Linked DNA regions of Daphnia pulex. The main gene of each other region encodes a partner of the protein of the gene in region 3 in a complex. Links are inferred from orthologs where the notes say so. Each region holds a gene or a part of one and is shown on either strand. Other genes may lie near its edges.

Region 1 (6,175 bases), on a different chromosome or scaffold from region 3:
CGTGATTGTTGTCACAATTACGTAAATTTAAGTGTCTAATTACTGCAATTGAATTTTGCAGTTTGAATTGCAGCGGTGGCGTGTCAAAACTGAGCCTCCTTCGACTGTGACTAGAATCCCTACGGGAAATTATGTTTTTTTATACCAAATAATTGACTTTGTGGTGAATTTTCTGGGTTAGTTGTTTGTAAAAGTGCACAAGAATGAACTCTGCTAATAAGGTTGCCGATATATTTGGAGCTGCAGGATTAGGTAAAATACACATGGTGTATGTAGGTAATTGTTGAATGAGTGATTTCAGCCATTATTTTTCTTAGCTTTCAGTACGTTGGGGAAATTGACCATGCAGCTACATTCCTCAGAAAATGCCAATGCTGGGTAAATAATTTAAAGTAATTTACTTTTGTAACACTGTTGTATTTTTAATTTTTTCTTATACAGGTCAAAATGGAGTGAAGATGAAATTGAAATGTTGAGAAGTTCCATTAAGCGCTTTGGAGAAGATCTTGAAAAGATTTCTGAACATATTAAAGACAAGACAGTGTAAGTTGATTGCAAAAATCATATGTCAGTGTTCAAATTTCAAATTTTATTTGCTTCTATTTATTAGGACACAAATTCATGGTAGTTTGAAGAAAAAAACTTTTGAGGCAGCAGGTATTCCTTTGTCCAAAGTCATCAGCCAACCAGTTGTTCAACCAAGTCCACTCCAGAATATTAATTCAAGTCCTCAGCAAGCAGTTGTAGTTGTTCAACAACAGCCCCAAATGATTAATAACAAGTCAACAGCTGAAGTGACATTGAACATGTTAAATGCCTCTGAAAATGAAGTTGATGTTGAAGGGTTAAATTTTGAAGGAGCAAATGAAGTTGTCACATCTTGAAACTTTCTGATAAATTAATACACAGCATAAAAATGAAATGAATTGTATTTTCGAATTTTCTTGCAAACATAATATTACAAATTATTTCAATTATAATTAATCATCTTCCCGATCGACATCTTTCTTTTTCTTTTTTTTCTTGGCAGACTCCTCCTAAATAGAAATATGTTCACATTACTAATGCATACCAAATTACTCGGCGAATAATATTTGCAGTATGTTTTCATTTAGGTAATTTTCGTCAGAAATATTCCGTTCACTACTTTCATTAAATAATCACGACACCTTTGTTTAAAAAAAAAATTAATTGACAAGTTTAATTTACCTTGATTGTTGATGTGTCCACTGCAATTGAAAGGTCTTCATTTTCAGCTGTTTTATCTTTCTTCTTCTTTTTCTTCTCTTTGGTTTCAGGAACCGATTCTACGGTGGCATCAAGAATGCTTTCATTACCCTGCGGCTCCTGAAAATCATCCATAAATGATTAAGACATCATTATTTCACAAGAGTATAAACACTTACCCGGTCTTTGTCCTTTTTCTTCTTCTTCTTCTCCTTGGTTTCCGTCATGGATTCTGACAACGGATCAGCAACGGCGCTCGTTTCACTTAACTTTCTTTTTCGTGCCTCAGCATCTTCAGTTGGTTCAACCTTTTCTTTTTTAACGCTACAGAAAAATATAATATTATTGAAAAATTTGATACAAATACTGCGTTGAATTACATACTTTAGGTCTACATAAGATGTCAACCAATCTTTAGGTGTCTTGTCATTAGGTTTGCCAAACTTATCCAAGAGTCCCTGTTTCACCATACCCTTCTTGACGGAAGCCTAAAATTAAACAAATACATACATATACATACAAGTAACGCCAATGTAAACTATATCAATTTTTACTTTAGGTCCAAGTCCCCATTTCCTGGGATAAGTGTCACGCTCCATGACAACACGTTTAATTTTGGCAACAATACCATGGTCACATGAAGCCATGGTTGTTGTCGTCATCAAAGCAATGGCGAGAGCCACTGCTTCTCCTTTGGTTGTTACTATAACAATCTCTTCATTTAGTTCGATACCATTTTCGTACCGCAATACACCAGGCAACATGATTTTAGCTCCATAGCAAACGGCATTAACCTGTTATATATTTTTTTAACACATTATTATAAAGAATATTATAGATAAATATTAACACACTTACAGCACTGTCTTTCATGATTATTCGCTTGTGAGACATCATCAATGCCTCTAATGGACGAATAACCCGCCGCAGATATGTTTCGTCCTTATGATTATCATGTAACCACTGCGCATCGATTACATCGTGCATAGTCATTAACCCTTCTTTTTCACTTTGGATACCTTATAAAAAATAAAATCTTCATCTTAAGAACACACACAAAAAGAAACTTCCTGGCTTACCAGAACGAACTCTTCTGAGTTCCGCCATCTGAGCTCCTACGCCTAGCACCAAACCGAGATGGACACAGTGGGTACGAACGTAAGTTCCGGCTTCACAGCTAACCCAATAGATACCCATTTGTCTCTCGGCATCGTACTCGTAAAATTTACTCTCGTAAATGGTTCGCACACGAAGTTGTCGCTTAACAGCCGAGATCAGTGGTGGACGCTGAAACAAAGCTCCAGTCAACTTCTCAAGAGCTCGAGGAATCTTAATAAATAAAAAAAATATATACAAAATTAGTATTTATAAAGATCAAGTTTCTAACTTAAAAAATTAACAGAATTCAGTTAAATGCTTCATTATCTTTAATTATCTTCAGTCATTTCAGTCCACTACTTTCGATAAATTAATCATTAGCATCTTTAGCATAAGGCTTTCAACTAGAAGGGTCAAGAAACTACCTGATTGTTATCTTCAACTGCAGAATGAAGCTTAAATATGGCAACATACTCTTTGCCAGCTCCCTGCTGAGATTTGACCAGCCTTGTAGCACGATCAATGCAAACAATCAAACACCCTGTATAATATTCAATTAGTAAAGTCCATGGGATTTTCTGAGTGCTATCAACATACCTGTAACTTTAGGGTCCAATGTTCCTGAATGACCCGTCTTTTCACATCTTAGAATCCTCTTAATCCAGGCAACTACTTCGTGAGAGCTTGGGTTAGATGGCTTGTCAAGATTAATAAAACCGCCATGAATATAATCTTTAATTGGCCTCTTCAATGGTGAACAACCACTTGGAAGAGGTGTATAATGATTTGTCCTTGTGTTTAACTTGTCAAAATTCTGAAAAAAAAAGATGATTTAGAAAATGTTCACATTTCTTAATAAATAACAAGGGAAAAATTAATATCTATAAAGATCAAGTTTCAAACTAGAAAAATTTTAAGAATTTAGTTTTAAATGCTTCATTATCTTTGAGTGTCTTCAGTCTTTTCAGTCCACTACTTTCGATAAATTAATCATTAGCATTCTTAGCATAATGCTTGTATAGATAGATACTAAAATAAATTATTTTGAGAACATCTACATTTAATTTAATATTTAACAACATACCTTTAGTAACAGCGGCCATTGTGAACAGTCCAATTTTGCTACTGGTTTTTCTGATGGCTCCAACACAAAGTCTGAATCTCCTTGAATATCTCCCAAGGACTTTCTTGACTTCTTTCCACTTTGTTTCTCTCCTAGGACTTCTGAAACACAGGAATGCTAACATTAACCGACACGTGTTACCAACATTAATCCGTAGATCACAGAATTAACCAAATTAATGTAAATTTCGAATCATACTATTTGTGCAGCAAACTACAATGCATCTTTTCCATGTGAAAACACATAATCGATCCCTATAACTAGCTTGTAAAATTTATATTATGTGATGGCGCTTACCAGATGAATGCATCGTGCTTCACACGTGGTTCGAAGTCCTGTCTTTGATCTAATGTGTTGAAAAACCTCTGCTACAAAAAAAGAAACCAATGAGCGGAAGTGTTGAGCGTTGCCATTTGATTTTTGATTCTTATTTTTGGAAAAAAATTAATCACGAAGTCACTTTTTCTGCTATGACATGTATTTCCAATATTTTACTTGATTTTAAAATTCAATGGTTCAAATTATCTCTTTATTACCATTACATTAGAAGTTACAATAACTATAACATCTTTCTCCCGTGGGCCGTGGCGCTTTGGCTTTGGGAAGGGTACTCTAGTGTGTGGCGCCAAAACCTCTTGAAGGTCACCTGGTGGCAACTGGTGGCAATTTTTCGCTACTCTATAGTGTGGGTACTGTTTAGTGTTTTCACCATCTAAAATTTGTACAACATTTCTGGACATACTGCTTGTTTCTTTCTTTAGTCTTTCTACTACATGCTGCAAATTGGTGTATAAATTAAGTGAACAATTTGACTGTAACACTCCGATTTCGTAAACTATTTACAAATGGCCCTTAATAACAATAAATTTGATGCGTAAGTTTTCAAATTTTATACATGTTTTAATAGAATTTGCGTTTACTTTGTTGCTTTTCGACAGGTTGAACAACAGCGAAGACAGTGATGACGACGAAACTTCATTCAGTGAAGAAAGAAAGAAAAAGGATTTAATTTTGGTGAGATATTAACTGCATAATACACAAAAAATTATTGTAATATCTATTAACTCTATGTTAATGATGTGATAATTGCGATAGACGAATTTATGTGCTCACTTACCCATTTTTTCCTACTAATTTAAAGGTTAATTTTTTTCAGCAACCCATTCAAGTTCCTCGAGAAGAACATCCACTCCAGTACACATGAAAATGATATTACTTTTATTAGTACATGTTAATTATAGAAATACCATTTGTTTTTAGATACACATACTGTTTGTGGTTTAGTCGGAGAGCTCCTGGAAAACATGCAGCACCCCAAAGCTTTGATCAGAATCTAAGAATGGTTGGACGTTTTGCTTCTGTAGAACAGTTTTGGTCATACTATTGCCATCTGGTCAGGCCTTGTGAACTCTCTGGTCACAGTGACTTTCATTTATTTAAAGATGGAATCAAACCAATGTGGGAGGTTGTATTATTAAATAATAATAAGGGTGGTGAAGTGTTTATTAACCTACTTTTTTTTCCCAACAGGATGATGCCAATCGTTGTGGTGGTAAATGGATTGTGCGTCTTCGAAAAGGTTTAGCCTCACGTTGTTGGGAGAACTTAATATTAGCTATGTTAGGCGAACAATTTATGGTAGGCGACGAAATATGTGGAGCTGTCGTCTCAATTCGATTTGCTGTAAGAAAAATGTTTTTTGTGTTAAAAATCATATAATTTATATAAATATATATATTTTAGGAGGATATTATTTCGGTATGGAATCGAATTGCAAGTGATCAGGCTACTACCAACCGAATTCGAGATACACTTCGTCGAGTCTTAAACCTTCCACCGAACACAATACTTGAATACAAAAACCACACGGATTCTCTAAAGTACGGAATGGTGGTCTCGCCATTCAAATGAGAATTCATAATCTTTTTCTCTTTCTTTCCTCTACCTCTTCTCCCTTCAAATCTCCAGGGACAATTCCAGTTTTCGGAATACCGATGTCTTTGTCCGATAAAGACACAATATTTTACATCTCAAGCGGAATATAAATAAGTTGAAAGTTGACCTGGTCACGGTGTTCATTACCGATACTGTTATTTCTAGCTTTATAAAAGTTTGATTCAAATGTGTCTAACATTCTTCGTTGAATAATCTCTAAATACGAGTTTATTCAATACTTTTATGGAAGAACCAACTTAAGCGTCAAATGTTGTAATGATTACTTATTAGCTTTACACTGTAAAGCATGGGAGCTTGTGGTGAAACTATTTGTTGTTAATTGATTTTTCCTCAAAACCACACATTTGACAGACGGTTGATTTATTAGCTTGAGATGCTACTAACACGGAGTAGTACATTCAGCCTAGAATTAAGAAATGCGCTAGATTTTTCAGGTGAGAAACATGCGTAATGTATGTGGAATAGGGTGATGAACGGTTATATTAAATGAGAAAAGTGGAAATCAAAAATCAACATCCATTGTAGCTCACCGCTCGACGAACGTCAAAATTTTGCTGGTGATACTTCGATTCGGAATTGTAAGTAGTGATTTACGATAAACAAGGTTTCACGGTGAAATAGATTGCGAAATATAATACTGAAATTAACAAAAGAGGAAAATGGAAAGCAACCTTACTTATTTAACATCAACAAATTGGCACACGTCGAGACACCGAAATACGAATCAAATGTAAACAAACAAAAGGACGATGGCGGACCATCGCAAAATAA
Region 2 (4,610 bases), about 3.2 Mb from region 3:
TCCGTCTCTATGGCGATACTGCCCTAGACGACGCTCTTGGCACTTTCGTCAAAATGCTCATGTCTATACCACAAAGTGATCTCTTAGTAAGTAAAGTCCCTATTGGTTTAACATTACAGTATCTAAATATTACTTCTGTAAATAGGCTTATCCAAAGTTGAGTCAGACCTACTATGTGTTGTTGGAGTGTCTTGCTCAAGATCACATGGTGTTTCTCAGCTCGTTAGAGCCGCATGTTTTCCTATACATTCTCTCGACTGTCCAAGAAGGCCTCACTGCACTAGGTATATTTGAACAGTAAATATTTTAATGAATGGTAATCGAACTCAATGTAACGAGAAAATTCCACCAATAGATACCATGATCTGCACGGGCTGCTGCAATACGCTAGATCATATCGTAACCTACGTCTTTCGCCAGTTGACGGCTAAAGGCAAAAAGGCTCGAAAGGTTGTAGAACAGCAGCAGGGTGCGCAACTCATTCGTTTGATGGAAATCCGACCAGAACTACTGCAACAGATGCTGAGTTGTATCTTGAACATCGTTATGTTTGAAGAATGCCGAAATCAGTATTCCATGTCCCGTCCTTTGCTTGGCCTCATTTTGTTGAACGAAGACTATTTTGGCCAATTGCGTCAATCCATCATTCGCAGTCAGCCAGTCGACAAGCAGAGCCTTATGGCTCAGTGGTTCGACAACTTGATGGACGGAATCGAGAGGAATGTCACCGCCAAAAACCGAGACAGGTAAACTTGTAAATTTTGTTTCCTTTTAAAAGTTATTATTCTATATTTCTTCATTCAACAAATTTCAGATTTACGCAAAACCTATCACTCTTCCGGCGAGATGTTAACGAATCGTTGAAAGGACCAGTGAATAACCCATTGATATCCAACAACGACATGATGACTTAGCAAACCTCATTCAATCGAACTTCTTGTTCCTTCGCGGATGACGTTCGTTTATTATCTTTTTCATCAATTAGTGAAGAGTCCACACCAAGTTATCATCATGGAATGTTTCACAGGCGTATCAGTGTTGCATGAAAGTATTGAACCCACTTTCGTATGCTCCACCTTTTTGTTGTTTTTTGCTTGCAACAAGGCTAATTTTGTATCACATCCACCCAAGTCACTTTTTTTTTGCTTTACTTTCTGTGTAACCAAGATGAGGAAATGAGTCGACAGTGATGTATGGAGTAAAAATGTGAATTCTGAAAAAAAAGCATCCAAATTCTGAAAAAGTGTAATCATTTTCAATGTCAAATTAGTATGACTGATGAAGGAGCTTGGATGAAAGAGGAATTCATTAACATTGAGGAGGGATGGTTTTAAGTTCAGCAGCAAGTTCATCAAAAGAAGTTTGATAGTCAGGATGTTCTTTGATAAGCACCATCAAAGATGTTCGCTTCAGTCCCAGAGAATGACCAAGTTCAAGTCTTGATGGAGTGTAGATGTAAGGAATATTCTTTTCTTCACACACTGCAGGCATGTGGCACATAATATCTACAGGAGTAACATCACCAGCAAAAATGACCAACCTGAAAAAAGAAAAATAATTTGTTAACACATTAAGAATATCACAAGATTTTGTTTTTTGTATTTACCCTTTTTCACCTAGTCGAATTCTTCTCTGTACATCCTTGAGGCCGTTTCTCACATATCCCTTGTGTGGGGCAGCTAGAAGCAAGAAACATATTTGAACTTACTGAATGAAAATATAACCAAAAAATTAACTAACCTTTCTTAAGAAGTTTATAGATCCGTTTAGTGAGCTTCCTGCTAGCCATTGGTTTAGCAATGATGCTGACATGATTCATCAACTCATCATAGCTACTCTTGTCTGATTTTCCCTCGACCTGTGATGTTTCCATGGCATCGGTTTCTTCTTCCTTGATAACCTGCTTTGATTTCTTGGCCATTTTTCTTTTTGTTTTAAATTTAAACTGTTAACTTAAATGCAGTAGCTACGGTAGTATGAGCACGTGTGGTTTTCAAGCTCGTCGATTTTTTTGCCTAGCTCTTGACTTTCGCGTCGTCTGGATTTAGACGTTGCCAATAGCTCGTAGCATCAACTTGTAAACTGAAACCTTGACATTTATAATAAAAAACTAAAAAATGCTGCCGATAATAATACTTTTCATAGTTTCTTATTGACAAATAATTTATAGGAAACTTAAAATTGGGTAAATTTTGACAAATTGGTGGACCAATATCAAATCGATTTCGTAGCCTACTTGTAATTATTTCGATATCGAAATCACGGAATCCACGACCCATGTGCTGGTGTGAAGCGGTGTTCTGAGAAAGTGTTTTACGTGAGCAACTCGTGTAATTTTTATAAACCCTTTTTTTCGTCCACGACAAAGATTCCCACTTGTTTTTTATAGTGAGGTAATTATCTATTTGTCTTTCTTGTTTAAGAGCAAATGAAGAATTTCATATTGAGAGAAAGCTGTCGTCGCCATGTTTTTCGATGTGACCACGTCTGTCATAGACAAATTCCTATTTTTCTGTCATGCCGACCGTCTATAAAGACCACTTTAACAAACTATACCTTTTCATTTAAACTGTAATTGGTTTACTCAGGTTTCATCTATTTGCTGCTTTCCTATAGCCCCTAAACCAGTGTCATGGAGGAGAACTCTGCAGATAGGAATGTTGAGATCTGGAAGATCAAAAAACTCATCAAAAGCTTGGAACTTGCAAGAGGGTAATTTGCCTCATGAGATAACATGTCTCAGAATTATGGCAGTAATTGACAGGGCATGTCAAGCTGTTGCTTAACAACTGCTCAACAAGTGAATAAAGTTTAATGAAACACTTTCTTCTTTAGAAATGGTACAAGCATGATTTCGCTCATCATCCCTCCTAAAGATCAGATTGCTCGGATCAGCAAAATGTTGGCTGATGAATTCGGTACTGCCTCCAATATTAAATCTCGAGTAAACAGGCTCTCTGTCCTGGGTGCCATCACATCTGTCCAACAGAGATTAAAACTGTATGCCAAAGGTATGTGTTGTTATTTATGCTTGTTTCTTGATTAACCTTAATAATTTTCTTTGATTTGCCAGTACCCCCTAATGGTTTGGTCATATATTGTGGAACAATTGTCACAGAAGAGGGTAAAGAGAAGAAAGTGAACATTGATTTTGAGCCTTTCAAGCCCATCAATACATCACTGTATTTGTGTGACAACAAGGTATGGTTTTTTTTTGTTATTTTTAAGGTTTTCAAAGATAAATCATGAGTGAATTCAGTTCCATACAGAAGCCTTGACAGCATTGTTAGCTGACGATAACAAATTTGGTTTCATTATTATGGATGGTAACGGGGCGTTGTTTGGAACACTCCAAGGAAACACGAGAGAAGTTTTACATAAATTTACTGTCGAATTACCCAAAAAGCACGGTAAGCATCATTTCTAATTATTGGTGCTATTTTGTGAATTCTATAATTTCATGTGACGCTGTTTATGTAGGACGTGGTGGTCAGTCTGCCTTGCGTTTCGCCCGTTTACGTATGGAAAAGCGACACAATTACGTCCGTAAAGTGGCCGAGGTAGCCACTCAAATGTTCATATCCAACGATAAGGTGACGGCTGCAGGCCTCATCTTAGCAGGAAGTGCTGACTTCAAGACGGAGCTCTCTCAATCGGATATGTTCGATCCGGTAAGCAAGCAGTTATTACATTTCACAAACCGAAATCATCTGGACTTTGGTCTCTGACTAGAATCTCGTATTTCAGTTCCATGATTGGTATTACCTTTCTCATTCCCGCTAGTTGTAACTGGTTTCTTTCTTTTGATAGAGATTGCAAGTCAAAATTATCAAGATGGTCGACATCTCTTACGGTGGTGAAAACGGCTTCAACCAGGCAATCGAGCTTGCAGCAGAGAGTCTTGCCAATGTGAAGTTTATCCAGGAAAAGAAGCTGATTGGTTAGTTGTTTTTTTGGATTAAATTACCTTTTATGTGTTAACCTAACGGTGGTGTTATGTTTCTTCTCACGTAGGTCGATACTTTGATGAAATCAGCCAGGATACGGGCAAGTACTGCTTTGGTGTCGACGATACGCTGAAAGCACTGGAACTTGGCGCTGTTGAAATTCTCATTTGTTGGGAGAATTTGGACATTATGCGCTACATGCTCAAGATTCCCGGTACGGAAGCGACCAAAGTTCTGCACTTAACGCCCGAACAGCAAAAAGACAACACGCATTTCACGGACAAGGATGTAATTAACTATTTGTTATTTATAATTATTTTAGAAAATGTCTTAACATGGAATTTTATTATCATTAGAGCGGTACCGAAATGGAATTGATAGAAAGTCAGCCGCTACTGGAGTGGCTGGCAAACAATTATAAATCGTTTGGTGCGACGCTTGAAATCATCACCGATAAATCCCAAGAAGGCTCCCAGTTCGTCAGAGGGTTTGGTGGCATTGGAGGTCAGACTTTTGAATTGCACTACCCTTTACATGATCCTGTTTATTAATATTCTTTTCTTTGAATGAAACAGGCATTTTACGCTACAAGGTGGATATGCAAAGTTTACAAGGCGACGGCCCTCTGGACGATCAAGTCTACGATTTGGACGATTATTAAGA
Region 3 (6,349 bases):
ATTGTCGCCAATAAAATCCGCCGATCCGTTTCGTTAGACATGAGTCCATCGTTAGCGATGGCCAGATCACGGTTGGTTGGTATTGTCTCTGAATTGAGCAATTGTCGTGATCAGCAACGGAACTTATTGATGGAAAAGACATCACTCTTCTTTTTCTTTCATTTCGTCTGGTTTTCTTTCAAACCTAAAACACATAACGGAACGGAAAGTTAGGCCCAAAAAGAGAGAAAGCCCTCGTGTCTTGTATTTCTTTTCTTCTTTTTTTTTTGTTGTTCCGAGACAAAACCGAAATAACCGAAAGCTGACAAGAACTCATATCGTCCATCAGCTTTATTTCAAAAAAAAAGGAGGCAAAACCATTCCGTATTCCGGCGGACTAAAAAGGAAAAAAAAAAGACTCTCACCTTGTTTAAAGGGCCGTTAATGTGGGTAAGAAACATTTGAACGAGAAAAAAAGGTAATTGGGTCACTTCTCAAGTGAACATTGCAAGGAAGAAACAAGAGAGAAAAAAGTGGGAAAAAATTGTTTATGACAGCGGTGGTCTACGTACCTTATTGTGCGAGTTGAAATCGCGAGAAAGTTTTTTCTTCTTCTTCTTCTTGGAATTTTTAGTTTTTATTTTTCCGGTTTAGTGAATTTTCCGAGTCGGGGCCAAAATGGGAAGTACTTCTATCTTCAATATCTGATGATAATGGAGTTGTAATACATGTGTACGTACCCGACTTATAGTAGAAGAAAAAACACATATCCCGCCGAGTGTGCAATAAGCAAAGAAATAAGAAAACAATACATTATTCGCCCATAGTACTGTGCAGACACAACATTAGACATTAGATATATATAAAACGTCAGCAGTTGTGCGCAGGGTCCTGCTTGTCGGCTAGCCCCGAATAAGAACAAGCGGCAGATGGTCTAATTGCGACGTTGGAAGTTCGTGCTCGCCCCCAAACTCGAAAAGGAAATTATGTGTGCCCAACAAAAAGCACTTTTGTGCGTGCCTGTTTAATGCAATAACCCAAGTTGTTGCCCAATCATTAATTAGTTTCTGCCCCTTGCAGGGCATCCCATTTTTATTGCCCGATCGACGTTTGGCTTTTCTCTTCCAAAAAAAGACAAATGGCGTGGATTAGCGAAATAAAAAAGAAGTTTCACTCTATCGGCTCAAAAGAAGATTCTCTAATTTTAATTCCTGTGGAAACCGATAAGCCTTAACCAACTAAAAAACCGCGAGAATGTGGCGGGGTTTTTTTTCTTCTTCGTCCAAAATCCTCAATGAACGCTTTCTATCCCTACACACACCAGCAGTTCTCGATTCACTCTTGATCTGAAGCTCCGACGGCACCAGATTCGCCGCTCTTAGCGTGCGAATTTTGTCCTTTGTTTTCAATTTTGGTGGATTCTTTTCTCTCATTTTCACTTTGTTTTCTCTTAAGCTACGACACACACACGTTCCATTCTCGACTTTTATTTGAAATTTTAGGCTTTACATTAGAGGAAGAAAATGAATGACGGCCGCTGTTGCATGTTCACATTAGAAGCGACCATTTTGTCAGAGAAAATTTGACAGTAATGTCAGTGTATGGTAATTACGCCTCTTGGTGGTCGGTGTTGTAGTTGCCGGCCCACCACAGCTTGACAGAGTTCTCCCTCGATTGGTGCCGTGCTGAAGGCTCGTCATCGATTTCACAGTCGGACGACTCGCTGCCGCTACTGTCGTGAACTGAATCGTCGAGCCGACAGGTTAGATGCCGCTGGCCGGAACTAGTGGCCACTAAGGGCAGCCATGGATGAAAGCTGAATAATTATGCAAAGAATAGAAATTTAGAAAAATAAGTCCAAAAATAATAATCAAATAGAATATGGGGGAGCTAATGATCGCAGAGAAGATAATAATAAAAAAAAAGAGTGAAAGTCATTGACTTGGCCTCAAGTGCGGACTGCGTAATAACTCTTTTGGCGTTGTTGCATCAACAACTGAACACGACCAAACGGCCTTGCGATTCAAAATTAGTCGAAGCTCTCACCTGACACCGTTCGTACAGTCGTCGTTCACTCTGCAACGAAACCTTTCCGGCAGCGATTTCATGGACAACAAAGGACTTTCGCTAGCGCTCGTTTCCACTCCCATTTGGGTGTCCCAAATTGTCACGCAGCCGCTCGTGTCTCCTGTTGTGGGAAAAATAAATAAAAAAATTACAATAAAAGAAAAATTGGAAACACACAAACGCAGCGGCGAAGGCAAGGTAGTAGGCATGATTATTGTATGCATATTCTAAGCCCGCCCTCCCGGCTTCTTGGTGGAAAAGCCGATTAAACATGGAAGATGCGGCGCCATCATGGCGTAATCCAACGAGTTCTTTGGACCCGATTCGGGGAAAGTTTTGCCGTACCACTGATGAGGTAATGCCCGCTGGGATCCAAATCGAAATAGATTCGCTGGTTCGTCTCAACCGTCCTGTTCATAGTGTAGAGCACCTGACCTGGATTGCGTAGATCCCAACTGTGCAAAGAAACAAACAAAAAAAAGGGGTAAAAATTTACGTACGTCTACTATACTCGTAGGGGTTTCTATATTTATTATCATTTTTTATTGAGTCAACTAGGAATTGGATAATATACGTAGATACGTACCATAGTATCTCCGGATCTTTTCTTCCTCCACTGTACAATACCATACCGTCGGGAGAGAATTTGAGATGAGTTACGCCTCCTCGATGGCCCTCCAAGACACACAGGGCCGTGCCTTCAGGCTCCGAATACAATCCTGTGTAATATGTGTGAGTGTAATGATATGTAACCGCATCCAGTCGTTTGGTTTCGTCATTACGTAGGATATCACTTCAGTTATTATGATTATTATTATTACCGATCGTTTTCAGATAACTAGCAGCCGCGTAAACCGAGGGAAGGGCCGCGTTCACCGCGATGCACGATATAATTCCCGATTGGCTTGCTGACAATCCATCGGTAGCTGGTCGATGTCGACATACAAAATGAACATGATTACGTATACAACAATGTATCAAAAAAACTTTCGTTTAACCGAACTGAATTATTATTCTCACATTTGGTCAGACGGATTTGGCAATTTCTGCCTGGCACCTGGACGTCAAAGACACGAACGCACTTGTCAAAACCGCAATACAATTTTTCTCCGTCTGGACTGATGCACAAACTGTTGGCTGCTTCTACTTCGTCGACGCTTTCAATTCAAATTTTAAAAAAATCTCAAATAATTAACAAGGGTTTTTATTTATTACTTATTGTAAGCTCGGTATGTGGCTGCCAAACTTCCTTTGTAAGCATCCCACAGGTGAGTTGGACTGCCTTTGGATGAGCTAGCCAGCAGGCATGTTTCTGGATTCCATGAAGACATATGGGGGTGCCAGCAGTAGTCATAGATGATTTCTCCTTCTTTGATCCTCAAAGATGGTGAAAGCTCAGTCGTGGAACATCCCTGGAAGGTTGTCTTGTGGCTGTTGTAGAGATCAGCAGGCAGATCAAACAGCCTCAGAAGGCCGTCATCAGCACATGTCAAAAGGCACGTTCCATCAGGTGACCATTTACAACCTTTCAAAAATCCTTGTGATTTGTTATTTTCAAATTCCTTTTTAGTTCCACAAATTAGTGTCCACTGCGTATCAAACTGATACTCAGGATAGTACACCGGTTCGGCAATTGTTTCCTGAAGTGCAACCTCCTCAACAACCACAGCTTCCTGCAGTTCGACAACGCCTTCAACCACGTCTTCTTGTAACACACTTGGTGGCTCGCCATCATGAGCCATTTCACTTGAAACCTCTTCCATTGCAGATTCCATCACTTTAGAATATCATGAAGGTAAAGCAAGAAGCAACAATTTAAAAGAAACCACGTGATGTTGTTGATGCAACAAGAATTTTTAAATATTGACATTTCAAACATTGTCGTCTGCAACAGCCGAAAAGGTTTGGCAACCACCAACTAGAGTTGCAGAAACTTTGTTTACTCTACTGCAAATAAAAAGTAGCCACTTTCATATAAAGCCGACCACAATGTGCGTATTTTTGCCTTATCAAATTACGTAGTGGGAATTTCCCTGAATTATTTCTTGAAAATAAATTCAAGAAAATCGTGTTTTCACAATATTTTACGTGCCATCTAGCGGCGGCCAATTAAGACTGAATGAATTTTCATTATCATATTGCAGGGCGTTTTGGGATTCGGCTGCTTTCCCTCTCTTGCCTGTTACTTTCAGTCTGAAAAAAAGTTTTCGACAAATATCCCATTGAGAAGCACTGGGGAAAGAAAAGGCAAATGAGTTGGGCCTCCTGATCGCAGCTTGGAAAGATTTGCCCGTGGAAGGTTCCATATGGTGCCTGATGGTTTGATATTATGTTTTACGGGGTGTTGTGCTTGTTTGTCGCAGAGTAAACAAGAAGGTTTCTCGCCATCATTTCACCGAGGTGTCGAAACCTTAAGGAAGCGAAGTGGCCAACCCTGCCCCATTTCTCTGGTCATAGGAGAGTCTAGAAAGCTGATCACCATCTCTTCAGTCTTATGGCGGCAAATGAAACTACCATCTCCACGAAGCCTGTCTCAGCAGTGGGTGATGACTCCTCTGAAAGCGATGGAGAGACTGAGCCAGCCAAATCCTTCCACCGCAGATTCTCCACCAACAAGAACATCAAATCATCGGTAAATAAGCATATTCTTCTTTGCAAATTAGCAGGCTTTTTCTTTCAGCTGTCTCGACAATCAATGGCAACACAGAATTGTAGCCCACCCAAGCAGCTAATCACAGCCAGACTGATGCGCAGTGAATAGATGGAAATGCGAAGAACAAAGACACAGAATATTGCACTGTCTATTGTTGAAGCTCCCTATTGTACCGACAAGTAGGGGGAAAGATAAAAAATGTGTAAGCAAAGGAAATATTAAAATAGTGAGACATCCCTTAATCCTCATAAAAGATGGCCATTGTCTATATATTCGCATTGTACTTTTTGAATTCTGGGCGTCCAATGTTACAGGTAATATAACATGAAGCGATTCATTAGGCAGCGTGAGATTTCCAACGCCCATCATGTCGACCGCCTTAGCGGCGAAGAAAATAGGGAGTTTCCCTCCCTCGTGATTTAGCAACAGTGCAAAGCATTTCGGCAAATCCCCTCTCTCTCTCCCGCCAAATCCGGCATCCAATTATCGATCTCCTTTTACCCAACGTGCAGAGTAGTACCCTAGTAGTATACAGCTGCGGTGATTCAGCACGAAAGAAAAACACACACTCCCCCCACTAACAGCATATTTTTCTTTTCAAAAGAAAATTGTCCATCTTTAAAAGTCTTCCAGCATCCTTCCTCGTCAAAGTTTTTGAGGTTGGCTTTTAGCCACGGAAGCATTGGGCCCGTGGCTTTTGTTCGCTTCCGCATGGGTGCGTGATGAGCCATAGAAAAGGGGGGAGGCTTGTCGGGGGAGTAACGAAAAAAGCCCTCTCTTCCACACCCCCATCGGTTGGCCTAGTTTTTCGTTCGTTCCCTTTTTTTTTTATTCCCTCCCGGGCCTATGTGTACATATACATACGCGGGATTTCCACTCGGTATCGATCCTTGGACCTAAGCCAACAAAGCCGTCGGGTCGTGTCTGTCCGTCTCGTCAAATGAAAAGTAATTGTTCCCTTTTTTTCCTTGGGATCCCTTCAATGGGTAGCTAGCTGCGTCCTTCCCTGTCCAACTCTTTAGATTGAATGGGCGGCGGCCCAGACTCTCCTAAAACATACACGCACGCACACACATGGGGCTTGTCACTTGATTGCGAGTGTCAGCCCATTGACCTACAACCAGTTCCCACCACCACTAGTCTTCATATCTTTTTCATTGTCACAGGTCTGCACTCGCGAAGGATTCCTCATGAAGCAGACGTCGTCGTTCCAGCGATGGCGCAGACGATACTTCAAACTCAAAGGGCGGACTCTTTACTATGCAAAGGATACCAAGGTATGCGTATACACATAATTTATCAATAATTTATCGAGCTCACAGCCGAAGACAAGACAGGGTCAGAAAAGACTGAGAGAGTGAGAGAGAAAGTGAAAAAAAAAGGAAATCGATCTGCCCTCGATCCGGTTACCCGATCAACAACCACCAACAGCACATTCCTTTCACCGTGTGTCGCGCTTTCACTCCTTTTTGTTTTTCACGTTCTTTTATTTCTCTCTCTCTGTTTGTATCTGTTTTATTAATTCTCTTTATTATTCCTTTTTTTTTTGCGTTGGAGAGTAACATGGTAGGGTGCCAGGAGCCATCGATCTGAATCCTTTTCTCTTTTGCTTTTTTTTTGCCTGGTTGTGTGTCGGCCACTCCTTTTTTG

The links.
Region 1: telomerase Cajal body protein 1-like (region 3) and H/ACA ribonucleoprotein complex subunit 4-like share a complex: the UniProt entries of both Homo sapiens proteins name them as parts of the telomerase holoenzyme complex. The link is inferred for Daphnia pulex from reciprocal best matches to the Homo sapiens genes WRAP53 and DKC1.
Region 2: telomerase Cajal body protein 1-like (region 3) and H/ACA ribonucleoprotein complex subunit 2-like protein share a complex: the UniProt entries of both Homo sapiens proteins name them as parts of the telomerase holoenzyme complex. The link is inferred for Daphnia pulex from reciprocal best matches to the Homo sapiens genes WRAP53 and NHP2.

The regions. Positions count from the first base shown.
Region 1 is NC_060025.1:6,907,856-6,914,030, forward strand, and holds H/ACA ribonucleoprotein complex subunit 4-like, read right to left. Parts: upstream 3,835-6,175; 5' UTR 3,759-3,834; coding exon 3,746-3,758; intron 3,550-3,745; coding exon 3,410-3,549; intron 3,140-3,409; coding exon 2,923-3,139; intron 2,867-2,922; coding exon 2,751-2,866; intron 2,557-2,750; coding exon 2,307-2,556; intron 2,247-2,306; coding exon 2,086-2,246; intron 2,022-2,085; coding exon 1,782-2,021; intron 1,716-1,781; coding exon 1,612-1,715; intron 1,552-1,611; coding exon 1,407-1,551; intron 1,348-1,406; coding exon 1,210-1,347; intron 1,144-1,209; coding exon of another isoform or gene 1,141-1,143; exon of another isoform or gene 1,038-1,140; coding exon 981-1,037; 3' UTR 912-980; downstream 1-911. Other genes in the region: chromatin complexes subunit BAP18-like, read left to right, coding at 204-252, 318-378, 442-543, 611-884; eukaryotic translation initiation factor 4E type 2-like, read left to right, coding at 4,294-4,322, 4,387-4,462, 4,590-4,642, 4,709-4,913, 4,979-5,131, 5,192-5,328, 5,417-5,459.
Region 2 is NC_060026.1:11,294,595-11,299,204, reverse strand, and holds H/ACA ribonucleoprotein complex subunit 2-like protein, read right to left. Parts: upstream 2,055-4,610; 5' UTR 1,922-2,054; coding exon 1,741-1,921; intron 1,680-1,740; coding exon 1,607-1,679; intron 1,541-1,606; coding exon 1,309-1,540; 3' UTR 1,230-1,308; downstream 1-1,229. Other genes in the region: exportin-7-like, read left to right, coding at 1-86, 146-284, 356-746, 815-914; eukaryotic peptide chain release factor subunit 1, read left to right, coding at 2,633-2,712, 2,836-3,011, 3,074-3,201, 3,260-3,410, 3,481-3,671, 3,811-3,940, 4,015-4,235, 4,304-4,451 and 1 more. UniProt on the Homo sapiens protein: Required for ribosome biogenesis and telomere maintenance. Part of the H/ACA small nucleolar ribonucleoprotein (H/ACA snoRNP) complex, which catalyzes pseudouridylation of rRNA.
Region 3 is NC_060026.1:14,514,149-14,520,497, reverse strand, and holds telomerase Cajal body protein 1-like, read right to left. Parts: upstream 3,822-6,349; coding exon 3,262-3,821; intron 3,204-3,261; coding exon 3,067-3,203; intron 3,021-3,066; exon of another isoform or gene 2,973-3,020; coding exon 2,868-2,972; intron 2,766-2,867; coding exon 2,633-2,765; intron 2,502-2,632; coding exon 2,392-2,501; intron 2,168-2,391; coding exon 2,026-2,167; intron 1,796-2,025; coding exon 1,588-1,795; 3' UTR 1,451-1,587; downstream 1-1,450. Other genes in the region: diacylglycerol kinase delta-like, read left to right, coding at 4,541-4,678, 5,866-5,976. UniProt on the Homo sapiens protein: RNA chaperone that plays a key role in telomere maintenance and RNA localization to Cajal bodies. Specifically recognizes and binds the Cajal body box (CAB box) present in both small Cajal body RNAs (scaRNAs) and telomerase RNA template component (TERC).